Arabidopsis thaliana: one gene and its partner. The protein of the gene in region 1 interacts with the protein of each later gene in a pairwise test. Each region holds a gene or a part of one and is shown on either strand. Other genes may lie near its edges.

Region 1 (7,984 bases):
TCAAATGGTTTTTACAATATAAAAAAAAAAATTCTAGAGTTCAAATATTATTAATATTATAAAAAATTTATAGATTCTAAATATTATAAATACCAACTTATTAAGAGGTACACTGCGGGTTGATTCTTTTCCATTTATTTTATAATTTATAAATTTATGATTTTGTAAACTATAAAGTATATGATATTTAATAAGATGTAGCTCTTATAGTATTATTCGGCATTTACTATATAGCTAAATATTTATATGAATAAGATGAATGTTATTAAGTTACTATCATAAAGTTCAAAACTAAGTAAGTTTAACTAAATTGTAAGATAACTTAAAGATCGTCCAAACAAAAAATATGGTATAGGATTTAACCCGTGGTGTAAAATAAAATGAAATTTGAAAACTAAATAAAATTATAAACTAAAATTAAAAAAAAGTTCTTTGGGAGAATCTAAAAATAAGAAAGTTCTTTGAGAGATTTGGATATAGAGGATCTTTTTTTTCAATTTCCCTTAATCATAAACTAAAATAAAATAAATTACAAAATTATAGTTTTTTTCTTCCTTTTTTTTGTGCCAAAACATCTAAATAGAAAAGATTCTTTACATCTAAACCCCAAAACCACTAATTAGAGAAACGTTAAAAAAAATTTCCTAAGCAAAAATAGAAAAAAAAAAAAAAAAAAGAAGAAGAAAGGTTTTGTTTCTCTTTCTCTCCGCCGATGGTTGCGCAAGCGGAATCTTCTCTCAGCATTCACCTCGGCGTTTCTCCTTTTTCAGCGTTCACGTCGGCTTAAAAAGTTGCAATACCTAAAAGTTCAAAGAAGAGGGCAACATCTCCATCTTTTCCCATATTGCATCTAGAATGATGGGAGAGAATCTAACGCTTAGGCATAAGGTAAACCTTTTCCAAAGAATTCAAGTAATCAACAGCTCTTTCTCTGTTCACCACAATAAAAGTATGTTCATCGATTTCAATTTTAGACAAACCCTTAAAATTAAAATGAAAATCAAAAGCCAAAATCAATAAACCAAAATAGAGGATAAAAACTCTGTCAATCAAAATGGAGATAAGAATTAAGAATACTCACTTTCCTCACCAAAGCTCAAGCTCATCTTCAGTAATCGCATCTCTAACAACACGCTTATCTCTCGATCAGTCTTAGCACCAGAAAGCATCGTCAAAGCTCCATTAGAAGTGATTAACGAACCTTTCTCATACTCAATAGCTTGCTCATAAAGCTATACAAACAACAAAATCACAAACTCAATCTATTAAATTCGTCACACAAGCACTGATAAATATTCTGTATAGCAAAACATTTCTAGAGCTATGCATAAGAAATACCTTGCTATATGAGAATTCGGAGGGATCATTTAGACTGAGGCAAATTGTGGTTGTGGTAATTGTTCGATATGAGATGGTTATTTATAGTGGATCATTTAGACGTTAGAATGTTCTAGATATTTTAATTTAGGTAATATTCTGATATTCAAATATCTTGAGAATATATGCTTGTTATTAGTTTACAAATCTAAACAAAAAACAATACCCAAGTGTTAATGTGGTTACCTTTTTTGTAGGGAAATTTTGCCAAAAGATATATTAACAATGATTGACGAAAATTAACGAAAAATTGAACTCAAAATTTGAAAAAATATAAATTAGTTATGGAAGATGCTAAAGATTACCATTTTTGTAGGAAAGAAATCGATCACATTTATGTTTTTAGATATGACATTAAAATATTATTACAGTTTTTTCTAGAATTCAAATAGGAAACCATTTGATTTGAAAATAGTTGTTTGTTATAACTACATATACGATTTATATATTTTCAAATCAAAAACTAAATATTGTTTAAATATTTTTAGGCGTAAAGCCAATTAAGAACGGAAATACAGATTTCTCTAGTATATTGTGTGTTTATTTGAGGTAACAGAAATTAGATTTTGTGTTGCAATTGATAAAAGAAGAATAAATTTTGGTAAGATATCATTAGCATTTAAAACTAAAATTATTTTCGAATCAAATAATTGTAGATATGGTTAGTTATGATTGATTTCCGGGTTTTGTTAATTAGGAAATTAGCATAATGAATTTCGTATAGTTTTAGGGATTGATTTGTGCAATTTATGAGGGTAGTAGTTAACAATATCCATGTTTAGGCAAGTAGTTAGTGCAATATCTTAATTGTTTATCAAAAATTTGGTTATTGTCCTAAAGAAAATATTTTGTCTGATTGATTTTGTAGGGACTAACCATACAATATCGAAATTGAAAAAGGATTTTTCGACACAAATCGTCCCCAAAAATGTATATGTAGATATATCAAAGAGTTATAATAATAACTTCAACAGGTAACGAAGAGAAGACATAACACCAAAGATTCTACACTTGACACGTCTTCGGAATACATAGATCAAACTCCAAAAGAATACATGTTAATGTTCATTAATCATTAGATGTATAATATCATATTATATGCATCACACAAAAAAACATTATAAATAGCACAAAAGAGTTTTTTTTTTTTTTTGAACTCTACCAAAAACTATAATTTATCAGCTAAGAACAAAGGTTATTCACTCCTAATCGACAAAATTAAAAAAAGATTCAATCAAGAAAAAAAAATACTAAAACCCTAAAAAAGATTTCATCACCATCAGAAATTTTCATTAAGATTATTACTTTTGCTAATACTATACCTCACCATCATAATCTTTCTTCATCATTTTCTCATAACTTAAAGAACCCATTGTAGTCTTTCCTTATGCATCATCCTCCATTAGGCATTGTCTTTAACTCATTCACCGTGGCTCTAATCTGTTCTTGAACCAATTCTAATCTCCTCGAATACACTTCCAGCTCAAGAATCTGTTGTCTCCTCCACCGTTCGTCCCCTACTCCCTTACCACCAAACCCTAAATTCATCGACGGCATTAGCATCGGACTCAACACACCGAGAGCATGAGCACCACCTCCAGGAAACCCACCCGTTGCAGCCATCATCATACCCGTCGTACTATTCATCATCTCCTTAATCATGGGCGATACACAATTCTTAACCGTCTCTTCAATCAACACTCCAAGATTCCTCCCATCACCAAAATCACAACCAACAGCCACATTCTCGTTAAGATTAACCGCATTCGGTATCACCCCGTCACACGGAGCAAGAACAGGCTTATCCTCGTCGATCTTCCCGATCCTAGACCGTGATCGTTTTCTACTTATCGTCACTTTCTTCTCTAAACCATTCTCCGAATCAACATCGACATTCGCATTACCGATAACAGAGACATTAAAACCCGAGCTACCATTCGCGTTATTTACATGATTAGTTTCTTCTAAATCCATCACATTATTATCTTCAAAACCAATAATTTTCCCAGTTTGATTCCAAATCTTCCTAGAGATATCAAAAGTAGCTTGATCATGAGGACTTTTAAAGAACACTTCTTTACCAGAACTAAACTTACTCATAACATTCCTATACTTCTTCTTCAACCTCCTTAGCTTCTCCACAAGCTGATTCTTATTAAACTCTAACTGTAGCTTAGATTTAATCTGTTCATAAAACGGCGCCGTATCAGGCGGATGAGAGCTGTTACCACGGTGGTTTGTGATGTAATCGAGAAAGCCACGGAGAAGCTCGATCTCGTCTTCGTCAGTCCATAGTCTCTGGAATAAACGTCGTGAATCATCAATCGGTGGTCTCTGATGAACGATTTCAGTCATACGGTGCCATTTCTGATCGGAATCTGATGGAATTGAAGCTACAGGTACGGCGGATCCAGCGGGAAGAGCGACGGTTACGGTTCCTGAGGATGATTTCGTCGCCGGAGCTCTGGAAATCATTGACGGAGAATTCAGATCTTCGTATTCTGGATCGGGATCGGGATCGTGATCGTCGTCTTCGGCTTCGTTTGGTTCGGGTATAACAACATCTTCGTCGGATTCAGTTTCTCCTCCTCCTCTTCCGCCACCGCCACCGCCGCCGTCTTCTTCTAGATCTGGTGATTCAGCGGAGAAATCAGTGTCACGTTGATCCGATGCCATGAGAAAAACGTAGCGAGAGAGAAATTTTTCTGGTAGATCGAATCAGATCCAGAAAGAAGGAATTGGGTTCACGAGGATTGATACGGGTTTGTTTTTTGGGTGGTGGTAGGGTATGGAGAATATTGGAGATGAGTAGGGGTAGTTTCGGGATTTTAAGAGTTGTAATTATGACTAAGGGTGTTGCGGTTGCAGGCAAGTGGTCCAGTGTTTGTTTCTTTTACCCGTGCTTTGTTTGGGTTGTTGCGGTTTTAGTTGAAGCGTGATCATGTGTTTAAAGTCAATGGTCTACCGCAACCGCGGCGAAACAGAAAAGCGTTCGACAAACTTGATTTTGTTATTCTGTGTACTGTTGCGTTTCTTCAACGTCCCATATTAACGGGTGTTGTGATTGGTGACTGTTGTTTATGACGGTTAAGAATGTTTTTAGAGATTATAGAAAAAGCGATTAGAGAAAATGCGATGACATAACAATGAAAAAAGGTGGTTACTTTAAATTGAAAAAAATTGTTATAAGGAAGGAATATAAGAGATTAGATAACATATAAAATTACTTTTACTATTAATAATCTCTTAATAGAACAATACAAATAAAGTTATATTGAAAAAACTAATACAGTATCAAAACAATTGGTAAACTCACAGATTTTTCATGTGGCTTACAATCGGCTTGTTTTAATTTTTAACCGCTCACTTCATTTGTTGTAACACCCAATGGCTATTTTTAGGTATGACTGGTTTAAACGCAGTGGATATTGTATGACTTGCGAGAGTTTGTAAAACGGACGGTTGTGATTTTAAACATTATGAAATATTTTTCAATGATATGGTTAGCTTTTGAAAATTGGTGCATTTACAGAAATTTTATGAATGATTAACCAGCCGGTTTGAACGAAATTAAACCAAATAAATATAATTAATAATTATAGAAAGTATAATTACACCAAATATTTTTTATTATAATAATAAAATGTAACATAATTTAAATATAATTAATAATTAAAATCATATATAACATTCTACATAATTATTCAAAATAAATAAATTTCATAGTTAAATGTTATTACTCCATGCATTTAGTTCATGAAAAAAATATCTTTATACTAATATAAGGAAAGTACCTTTAGAAAATTCACATTGCCTTTTCTAAAGTATTACTAACCAATGCCATTAGAAGTATAATTTCAAAGTCCAAATTAATTCACCTCATTAAGAATAAACAAGTCAAATTACATAAGATCTATTTGTTTTTCTCGCGGGTTAGAGATCTTATACATATGTTATGTTAGAACCATTACTTGACCAAAATCAAGAAACTCTTTACTTGATCAAAATCGCTGGTTACAAATCTTATATATACTGCTTTTTCAAGAAACTCGGCTCTCTAAATCCTTATTGCTTTGAAGTACGCTTTAACCAACTTCCTCATTATGCATTGAAATTTGGCTTGGTGTTGTGGTAAATCTGACTCTCAATCTATGAATTTCTATAGCTATGCTTTAAACTCGATTTTGAATCTCTATAGCTTTGAAGTGGTGGAAAAGAACCAAAAGTATGCTTTTCTTTTTATCGCTCTCTTGATTTTGTTTCAGGGTTTTTTATTATGTTACACATGCTTTATATATATATATATATATATGTTTGGTGTTAATGGCTTCTCATTCTTGACTATGCAAGTTAGTAAATTTCTCCTTATGTCGCTAAATTTTCTATTTCTCTAGGTTTAGATTTAGAATTATAGTTTTGGTGATGACTACTAAACAAATTTGGTGCTTCATAATAGGTAATTATCTCAGCTCTACGTCTTCTCGATGAGGTTTTGCACCAACAAATCGATAATTGTTGGACTATTGGGCTCTCTAACCAATTCACATGAGTAGGAAGAACTTTGGGATATATTGTTAATAATGAATCCTTATGAATCTAGTACCTATTCAATGGAGTTAACAAGGACCACTTTACTCCAAAAGGAGCCATAGATAACCTCCTTAGCGCGAAATCATTTTGGTTAATGAAAGGACTATTCTGGAGAGACTTTGTTCTCTACCTTACAAACTTGGTGTTGCAAATGAAGTTGTAGAGTTATATTAATGTATAGTTATTGCTTTTATTTGGAGTGTTTTAGAAATGAATTCATATTTGTTTTTTAATTTTGCTAACTAGATCAATGCATCAAGATTCAAAGTAGTTGATCTTATTGTTCATAGAGTAGAAGACTATGAAAATCTTACCAACTTTAACAAAGATTTATTTCGCTGTCTTAATCGAACGCATGTGGCTTTGTTGTTCCAGTCTTTTAGTCCTTTGGAAATATTGGAATAACGAAGAGTAGAAGATTACATTAAGATGGTTATGGATTTCTAATTTATATCTCACTTTGTTGAGATAAAAGGGTTACATTATACGCCCAAAAACCTTAAGTTGAAGTTCAAGCATGTAAATTTTGTTGATCAGATGCTGCACAATAGTTACGTTGAGGCCATAACATTGTAAAATGTTAGCTCACTAGGCAAGTAGTTGTTTTTTTCTCTTTTGGAATCTGATGGCTTCTTTTAATGGTTCTAAAAAATGGTGATTTTAACAAATGGATCTTATCATTTATCTTGCTGTATTTAACAAATTGATGCGGATTTGATTTTCTTATTTTCAATTACCTTTTAAATTTCTGATTTCTTGATAATTATTAATTGGTTAATATTAGTAAAAATGATGTTCCTTAAAAATTTGTTCTTTAATGTCTTTGATTAAATTGTAAATTAAAAATTGAATTAGATTTTTCTTTTTTCTTTTTTTTTTTGTTGTTCTAAGATTTTGTCAATGATTTTGTTAGAAAAAATAGTTTAACCATTGATTTAATTGTCTTGCTCTTTATTTTATACTAGATTTTAACCCGCGGTATACCGCGGAGACAATTTATTTTTTAAATTAGTATATATAAAAGTTTGCAAATTAAATCTATTTATTTTTATTTTATAGTTTACAATTGTTATTAAGTAACGTCCTGCCAAACCCGTCTCGCCAAATCCATCCCATAAAAAAAACCGCGGTACACCGCTAATTTAAATATATAATTAAAATAAATATTTTACGGGATTGCAATTGTATTTTGGTTTGTCAAACAAATATTTGTTTTAAATAGTTGCCAAAATCTAGTTCAAATTTTGGAGAAAAAAGATTTATTGGATAGATAAAGAATGTATTTAGGTGTGTTTTGCTCATTTTAAGGGATTGCAATTATATTTTTGTTTGTCAAACATTTTTTGTTTTAAATAGTTGCTGAATACTGTGTGCGTGACATATGAGATTGGAATATTTTTAGTTTGTTAATTAATTTATTGCTGGAAAAAAATCAATAATTAAAAGGTAATGGCAGCCATTGTAAATAAATCTCAACTCCAGGATTTATTTCACAAAATGACTGCAAAAATGTATATATAGATTTATAATTTGATTAGAGATAAAATAGTTATTTGATTTTACCTTTCTATAATTGTTAATCATATTTTAGATTCATAGTTAGCTCAAAACTCTGAACTTTTGAGCATATTTAAGGACCAATCAAGCAAGAGCACCTTTTGTATATGCTTGATAAAATTAAAAACAACGGTCGACGATTTGAAGATCAGAGAAAAAAGATGATCTCGATTTAATCAAGGTAAGATAACTTCCAAAATTAACGTAATCAAAACAAACGACCATGATTGAAAAACTGGCCAAAAGCCAACAGCTACGATTTTATTAGATGATAGGGTCCAAAACTCACAGAAACCGGGTTTTGTGACCTCCACATTTGTCAAATAATATAATTCAAATGAGGTTTGATACCCTAGAACGTTTATAAATTTGATTATAAAAATTTATCATTTGCCCATATGTTGGCAATTGCATTACGACATTAACTCAATTGTAACAATTATTGTAATTAAATAATCAA
Region 2 (6,896 bases), on another chromosome or scaffold:
TGTGGTCTTTAATTCTGACAAAAAAAATCTTAAATATGTTTGGTGATTTATCAACATCTTCTGATTTCTCCATAATTCATTAATTTGTCGTTTACACTAAGATTCTTTCTTTTGTCAATGGATTGGCTTTGTCGTTTGTAGACTATATTCAATGCTTTAGATCCAAAATTACAAATTTATTAAATAGTCATCATCTAACTAACATTTTTGAGCTTAAAGGTTTGGTTTGAGGAATCTTTAATTTATAATTTCAAAAGGGTATCAATAGCTTATGGGTGTTACTTTTTTTTCTCTGGTTCACATTAGATGTTACAGGCTGCGGTGCGTTTGGTAGTGAATTCGACTAACATATCCTATGTAAGGAGGTGTCGATCGTGTATGTGGGAGAGGAAACGAAATTAAAGAAGAGCAGTCTTTATTTTTTATATATAATCTCCAAATTAGTGGTAATTTTTTTGATAAACATTTACAAATATTAGTACATACAAAGAGAGATAAATGTATACACAGATATGTATATATTCTAATATATTTAAATCAATCAAACCATAATAACTCAACCCATATCGAATGATAGTTTATTTTTGTTTTTTTGTCGGTACATCATAAAGAAATACTAGAACATAAGAAAAATAAAATATTACCAAATTAAGAAAATAAATCCAATCCACACTTGACAACAAAATAACCTGATCATAGAAGAGAAAATCAAAGAGGTAAAGGGGAAATAACGAGACTATAAAATATGGGAAGAAGTTAAAGAGTAGAGCTACTCCGAATGGAAAGTGTATTAGATGTGCAGAGATTCATAGAAATGGAAGAAAAATAGAAAAAGAAAACGAAAGAGAAGAAAAGTAAAGAAGAGACAAAAGCATTGAACAACGATGCTTTTGTCTTTATTAGCCTATTAACCTAAACCCCTAGAGATTCAGACACGAACCTTATTCATCTCGAATATCTCAAACCCTAAAGACCATTAAACATCATCGCTCTCTTATCACTTTCGCATTCATCATCAACTCGTCATCATATGTATGTTTTCATTCACATGGAGTTAGTCCAGAATAATAGACTGCATGCCGTTTAACGGTCTAAACAAAGACAACTTGTAGTAACGTGTTTTCTTACAAAATGACATAGCAAAATTAGCATGCATGGCTCAGGAGTTATCACATATCGTTAAAACATTTTGGGTTTGCTTTTAGCGATTGCCATTTGTCGAGTGTCTCAAAAGATTCTTGTGGCCCGTATAATGGGCTTTAGAATATCGTTCTATAAGCCCATCAAATTAATGAACTGAGTATTATTTCCGGGAAAGAAATAACGTTTTATGCAATTACGACCCAATTAACTTTATAGTTTTTTAAAACTGATGGGGAATGACCCAATTCAATGTTTTCACCCTCTCAATTGCAGCCATTAGTTAATACTGTAGTAATGTTTAGAAACTAGTTTCAAAATTTTCGTAGAAAAATTCATGTAATATTTTTAAAAATCATTCGATGTGCTGCATGCGTATTTCCCAAAAATTAAAGTTAATATGATTTAAGATTTTGTTCACAATTACTGCCACCAGAAAAAGGACGGTGAGATTAATATTTTACAGGTGAAAAGATTTTTCCAAGACAAGGTTTAATTTGACCATGCGGACCAATTTACTTACAAGGTGTCATGGTTTACAAAAGCCCGTTAAATGAGTAAATCCTGATCTGTTTGCCACGCTGGCAAAACCTCTCGCAGAGGCCCCACCAAATACTATAAATCATTAAATCTCGTTTAAGGCCCAAAAAATGATGCAGAGTTGCGATCGTAGAGAGTAGAGAACAGGGAAGGACGAGCGGTTATGTTAATCATGACGTCATCCTCTACGATTCTCACCGGAGATATAGATGAAGAACACCGCACGTCGTCAATGGCAGAGGAAGACACGCCTACGCATTCCCATCGACGGCGCTGGAGCACTCCTGTTGATTCCGGCGGCGAACCTCTTCAAAGCTTATCCGTGAGCAGATCTCTAGAGATAAAATCAGACCACGAGAATCCCGACGACGAGTGCAGGGAACATAGAGGTGTGTGTGGAGTTATTCTTGACGAATATTTCTCGTGTTCTTCGAAAAATAACAGTTACAGTTTCTATCTAGGAGGGAAGATATCGCCGTGGGGACCGTATGGACCGCCGCTGCTGACGGAGTCGAGATCAAAGGCGCCGTCGCCGCGGAGAGGAAGAAGCGTGACGAGGAAGCGAGATCTGCCACCATTTTTGACGACACTGGATTGTAACGGACGGCCGAGATTTCATCACAGGAGAGTGAGAAGCGAAGGACGGTTAGAGATTGCCAGCGTGGCAGTAGATTCACCGGAGATCGTTAGTGTTCGTGGGAGAGAAGGACTAAGAATCGGAACAGTGAGAATCAGTCAACAAAACGACGTAGTAGAAGATGATAATGAAGATAAACAGAATCACTGATCTTCCTCTTAGAATTTTGATATTTTCAGCTAATTTTCCGGGGGGAAAAAACGACATTGTAGTCCGATGATCCGTTAGAAACAAGATAAGAAAAGGGAATTATGGGCTTTACTTATGAATATTAGGCCCATAATAATATTTTGTTGCAAAACAAACCTGGGCCTGAAGCCCAAATAATTCGCTCAAGCCGACGTGTTAATTTATGATTTGTCCGTCACAGTGATACATTAAAGCACAGGCTGTGCGGTTATCACACTGTTCGCAGGAAGACTTATTTGAGAGAGTTTTACTTTTGGGGGACACAAAGATTTGGAGAAAAAGTTTACTAAAAAAGAATCTGGGGAAGTAAGTGAGATGAAGGAAGAGGAGGAGATCGGAAAACCAGCGAAACCAAAAGCCAAGGTAGTCCCACAATGACTTACATATATTTCGCTTTCCATTTTCTAGGTTCCGTTCTTTGCGTTTTTCTTCTCTTTATTGTGTTAGATGCGAACCTTCTTATAATTCCGGTCAAAGTGCATGCGTTTTTCGTGTTCTTACTGTCTTTGGAGATCTCAGATCCCGTATTAGTAGTTACTATTGATGGAGGAAGTTATACAAGGCATAGAATTCTAGGTTATCAGTTTTGGGGTTCACGATTTTTTGGTGCTTGGAAGTAAATTGTTGGTAGTTAACTTTGAAATCTTTGGTCTTGCAAACTTTGAGTCAGTCTCGTGATGTGTCGTTGCTTTCAGTTATTGCTCTAAGAAAGCCTTGGTTCTTTTCTTTAACGCTTGCTGGAGTAGTGTCGCTCCTTATTCTTGCCTTACATTATATATTTCTTCTACGCTCACAAGTCTTGTGTGGGGTTGTTTCACTGAGACTTAATGGCAGAAAGATGTTGCTCCTGGGAGGTTGATTGATACCTATGCTGCACAGTGCGATAACTGTCACAAGTGGAGGGTGATTGATAGCCAGGAGGAATATGAAGATATCAGAAGTAAAATGCTCGAGGATCCTTTTAACTGTCAGAAGAAACAGGGCATGTCTTGTGAAGAGCCTGCTGATATTGACTACGATTCTTCTCGGACTTGGGTCATTGACAAGCCTGGTCTCCCCAAAACGCCTAAAGGTTTCAAGAGAAGCTTAGTTCTCAGAAAAGATTACTCTAAGATGGATACCTACTACTTTACTCCTACCGGGAAGAAGCTCAGGAGTCGCAATGAAATCGCTGCCTTCGTTGAAGCCAATCCGGAATTCAGGAACGCACCACTTGGAGACTTCAATTTCACTGTCCCCAAGGTCATGGAAGATACTGTTCCCCCTGATCCGAAGCTTGGCTCTCCTTTTCCAAGCACTACTACCACTACTTCAGAGAAGAGCAGTGTCAAGCAGAGCCATAACTAATATGTTCTCTTCTACCTTCTTTCTGCTCCCTAAAGCAATGCGTTTTGAGTCTTTATAGATTTGATGTTCTCTAAAACTGTTATGATATTAACATCTCTAAGCAAAAAAATATGATCTTTTGTCTCTTCTTTAACCGGAACTCAAATGTTAAATATTCTTTTAATTTGGATTCTTACACCAAAGAAACACACTTATTCCTTACAAGTCCCCTCGTAAAACATTAAGTAGAGGCTACAACTCCGGGAATTCTCTCATGGCAAATCCTCATGCACCTTATAGTGAGCGGTTCCTCTTGAAGAATACTGCACGATGTCTCACAGACTTCCTCGTTGGACATGAAGCATCCGGATATGCATTTTTTATAGGCCTCCGGTTCGGTGTAAGACAGGCATTTTCTGTTGCATTTTGTCTGCAAACCCTCATTAGCAACACCTTCTCCTCCTATGACCATCATCTCTGGTTTGGACTTGGTGCGAGGGCAAACGGCCATGCAATGTTGAAAGAGTCCTTCAAAGGGGTTGCAAAATGCCTCACAGAAGGGATTGTGTTCTTCTTCTTGTCGTCCACTTGTCTCTTTCTCTATCTCCATCATCAACAGTTCATTGCACTTATCTTCACACTCTTTCTTCTTGTTGTGGATATCATGTTTACAGTTGTGCTTGCACTGTTCCACCACCAAATCTTCTACTGCACTTGACACTGTTGCACTTTCCAACACCAGAATAGCCCAAATCAGTGAGATGACTACTACCTTTGCTTTTGTTGGTATCATGCCTCTAGTCATGTTTTATAGATGTAATAGGTTATGATGATAATTTTTGTGTTATACTATATAGAGGGGTTGGTTAGTGACATGCAAGATTCTACAGGTGTTACGGGTACGTGTAGGTCAAGATTCTCCTATCATCCACTTGGACATCATGCTTTAGCCTGTGCATAGACGTGTCCAAATCCAACATAAGGAAACTCCAAAAAAATAAAAAGAAGAGAGGAGACAAGTTCCAATGACTTCAATTGATCCTTGCATTGAATTTGAGATGGTTTAAGGCAGGTGTCTTTTTCTCTTCATTTGTCTAATGGGTTCATTCACACACAAAATAGTTTCAGTGGTTTTGCAAGCTATATGTATAATCTCAAATTAGGCAAGGAATAAACTTATCATGTCATGGATAATGTAATGAGAGGAATAATTTTCCTCTCATATCTGTTATAATTTCCTTAGCATGATTTGATTCCCAATCTGCTTATAAATCATGGTAAGTGCACAACGAACCTATACATCACTTTACGTGTCTTAGCTTTGAAAAGAGGTTCTTGATAATCACATAAATTTTGATATTATACAATAAAAAAAATATATTTCAGAATACAAATTATACATTCATGTAACATGAAGAATGGAGGAAGTATGTGTATCGTAAAATTGAATTGATGAAAAAGCTAGATAGGAGTCTTTAAGACATATATGAGGTGAAGAAAGAAAAGAGTCAAAACAGAGAGGTCATACACTCATCATGCATTTGGCTACAAGCCTTTTCGCATCTTCTCGAGTCTACTCTGAATGAAAGCATGTGATTTAGTGTTTATATCATTCAAAAGAGGCTTCGGCTGTGTCACACCACCAGCTCCAGTTTGAGCTACTGATCGCCTAACGTTTAGCTCACTCGCTAAGTTCTTCTTTGAGCCGTTACTACCATTAACCAGCATGATCACCCTATCTTTCTCCGAGCTTCTTGAGATATTGATGGGATTAGCGTTGTTATCCTCGGACTCTTCTCTTTGCTTGAAATAAATTGTGATATCAGACTTTGATTCTTTCTTGATCAGTTTCTTTGTCACAGACTTATCTTCCTTGTGACCCGCACCCGCCATGAGTTTAACGAACACCAACTTTAAAAGCCGCCGAAAAAACCCTCTCTTGTTGTCATCATCATTTGCTCTCTGCATCGTCTATTTGTTTACATGAATGTCTGATTATGGTGTTGGTTTATTATTATATGAAAAAATTAGTGGGATTATGGATTTCTTTTTCCGATTGCTTTGCTTTGATTCTACGCTTTGGGGGGAAATGTGATTGTCTTTGTCTTTTCTATATCTAAGGAAAACAGAATTTATCTAGTTTCTTCTTTCATAATACTCTTTTTTTGTTTTTTGGTCGCTTTTTTAACTAAAAAGAAATTTGCTTTTGTGCAAGTTTTTCTTCCGTTGGAGCTGGAGATTCGCTTCTTTATTGAAAGATGAAGCTCCCTTATCACTGTAAATTTCGGTTGAGTGGACGAAAACTTGTAAAGATTCTTTATACACTTACAAGACTTGTTGATCTATCTATAAAAGTACTTCTCACTTATGTTTTTCACTTTTGTTATTGTCACGTTTCAATTCGCGTGAATCACGTGTTTTGATGATAGCTGTTGACTTTAATTTTGACAAAATTCTCTCGACGAAAGAAAAAGTTGCTTGTCATTGAAACGTAAGCCCCGTTCAGTTAGTCCATAGAGGAAGAGGTGAATAACTGTCGAACGGCCATGATATCATCGGCGGAGAGACCACATAAGCTCCACACACGCGTCTCAGCAATTTGAATCTCTCCACCGCAAGATTCTCTCGTTACCGAGGCCGCATCTCTGCGGATAAGTGGCCCGGGGACTTTCCTGGGTCGGAACTTGGACAAGCCCATATGACCCATTCACTTCGTCCAGTGACAATTGTGTTTGGTTTTACTTTGCAGATGTATATATAGATACGTCATATTATTCTTATTACCGATGTGGGATGTTAACCTAAAACGTTTCATAGTATTATTAACTTTCGTTTTTTCTGGGTTGATGAAGTGAGGGATTTAATTTTAACTAGAGAAAAATTGGACTTTGAATTTTGATGGGTTGAGCCAGGCCCGTGCAATGATTTTTATTTGTTTTCTAGTCCTGAACGTTTCTAAAATAGCAAAATACATCCTATATTCTTTCTTATTAGCGAAATAAACCCAGATCTAGTATAATGTTGTAAAAACCATACCTCTTTTTTTTTTTTTGGTTTCAATGTG

The links. The genes of interacting proteins can lie anywhere in the genome.
Region 2: the proteins of AT5G28040 (region 1) and MBD4 interact in binary tests that used the Arabidopsis thaliana proteins (3 or more experiments, as listed by UniProt).

The regions. Positions count from the first base shown.
Region 1 is NC_003076.8:10,034,885-10,042,868, forward strand, and holds AT5G28040 (DNA-binding storekeeper protein-related transcriptional regulator), read right to left. Parts: upstream 4,118-7,984; 5' UTR 4,054-4,117; coding exon 2,770-4,053; 3' UTR 2,700-2,769; exon of another isoform or gene 2,153-2,699; intron 1,233-2,152; 3' UTR 659-1,232; downstream 1-658.
Region 2 is NC_003074.8:23,292,573-23,299,468, forward strand, and holds MBD4 (methyl-CPG-binding domain 4), read left to right. Parts: upstream 1-2,712; 5' UTR 2,713-2,821; coding exon 2,822-2,869; intron 2,870-3,340; coding exon 3,341-3,853; 3' UTR 3,854-4,054; downstream 4,055-6,896. Other genes in the region: AT3G63020 (hypothetical protein (DUF3049)), read left to right, coding at 1,853-2,467; AT3G63040 (uncharacterized protein), read right to left, coding at 4,074-4,637; AT3G63050 (uncharacterized protein), read right to left, coding at 5,378-5,800; AT3G63052 (uncharacterized protein), read right to left, coding at 6,339-6,539. UniProt on the Arabidopsis thaliana protein: Transcriptional regulator that binds CpG, CpNpN and CpNpG (N is A, T, or C) islands in promoters regardless the DNA methylation status. Plays probably a role in gene silencing.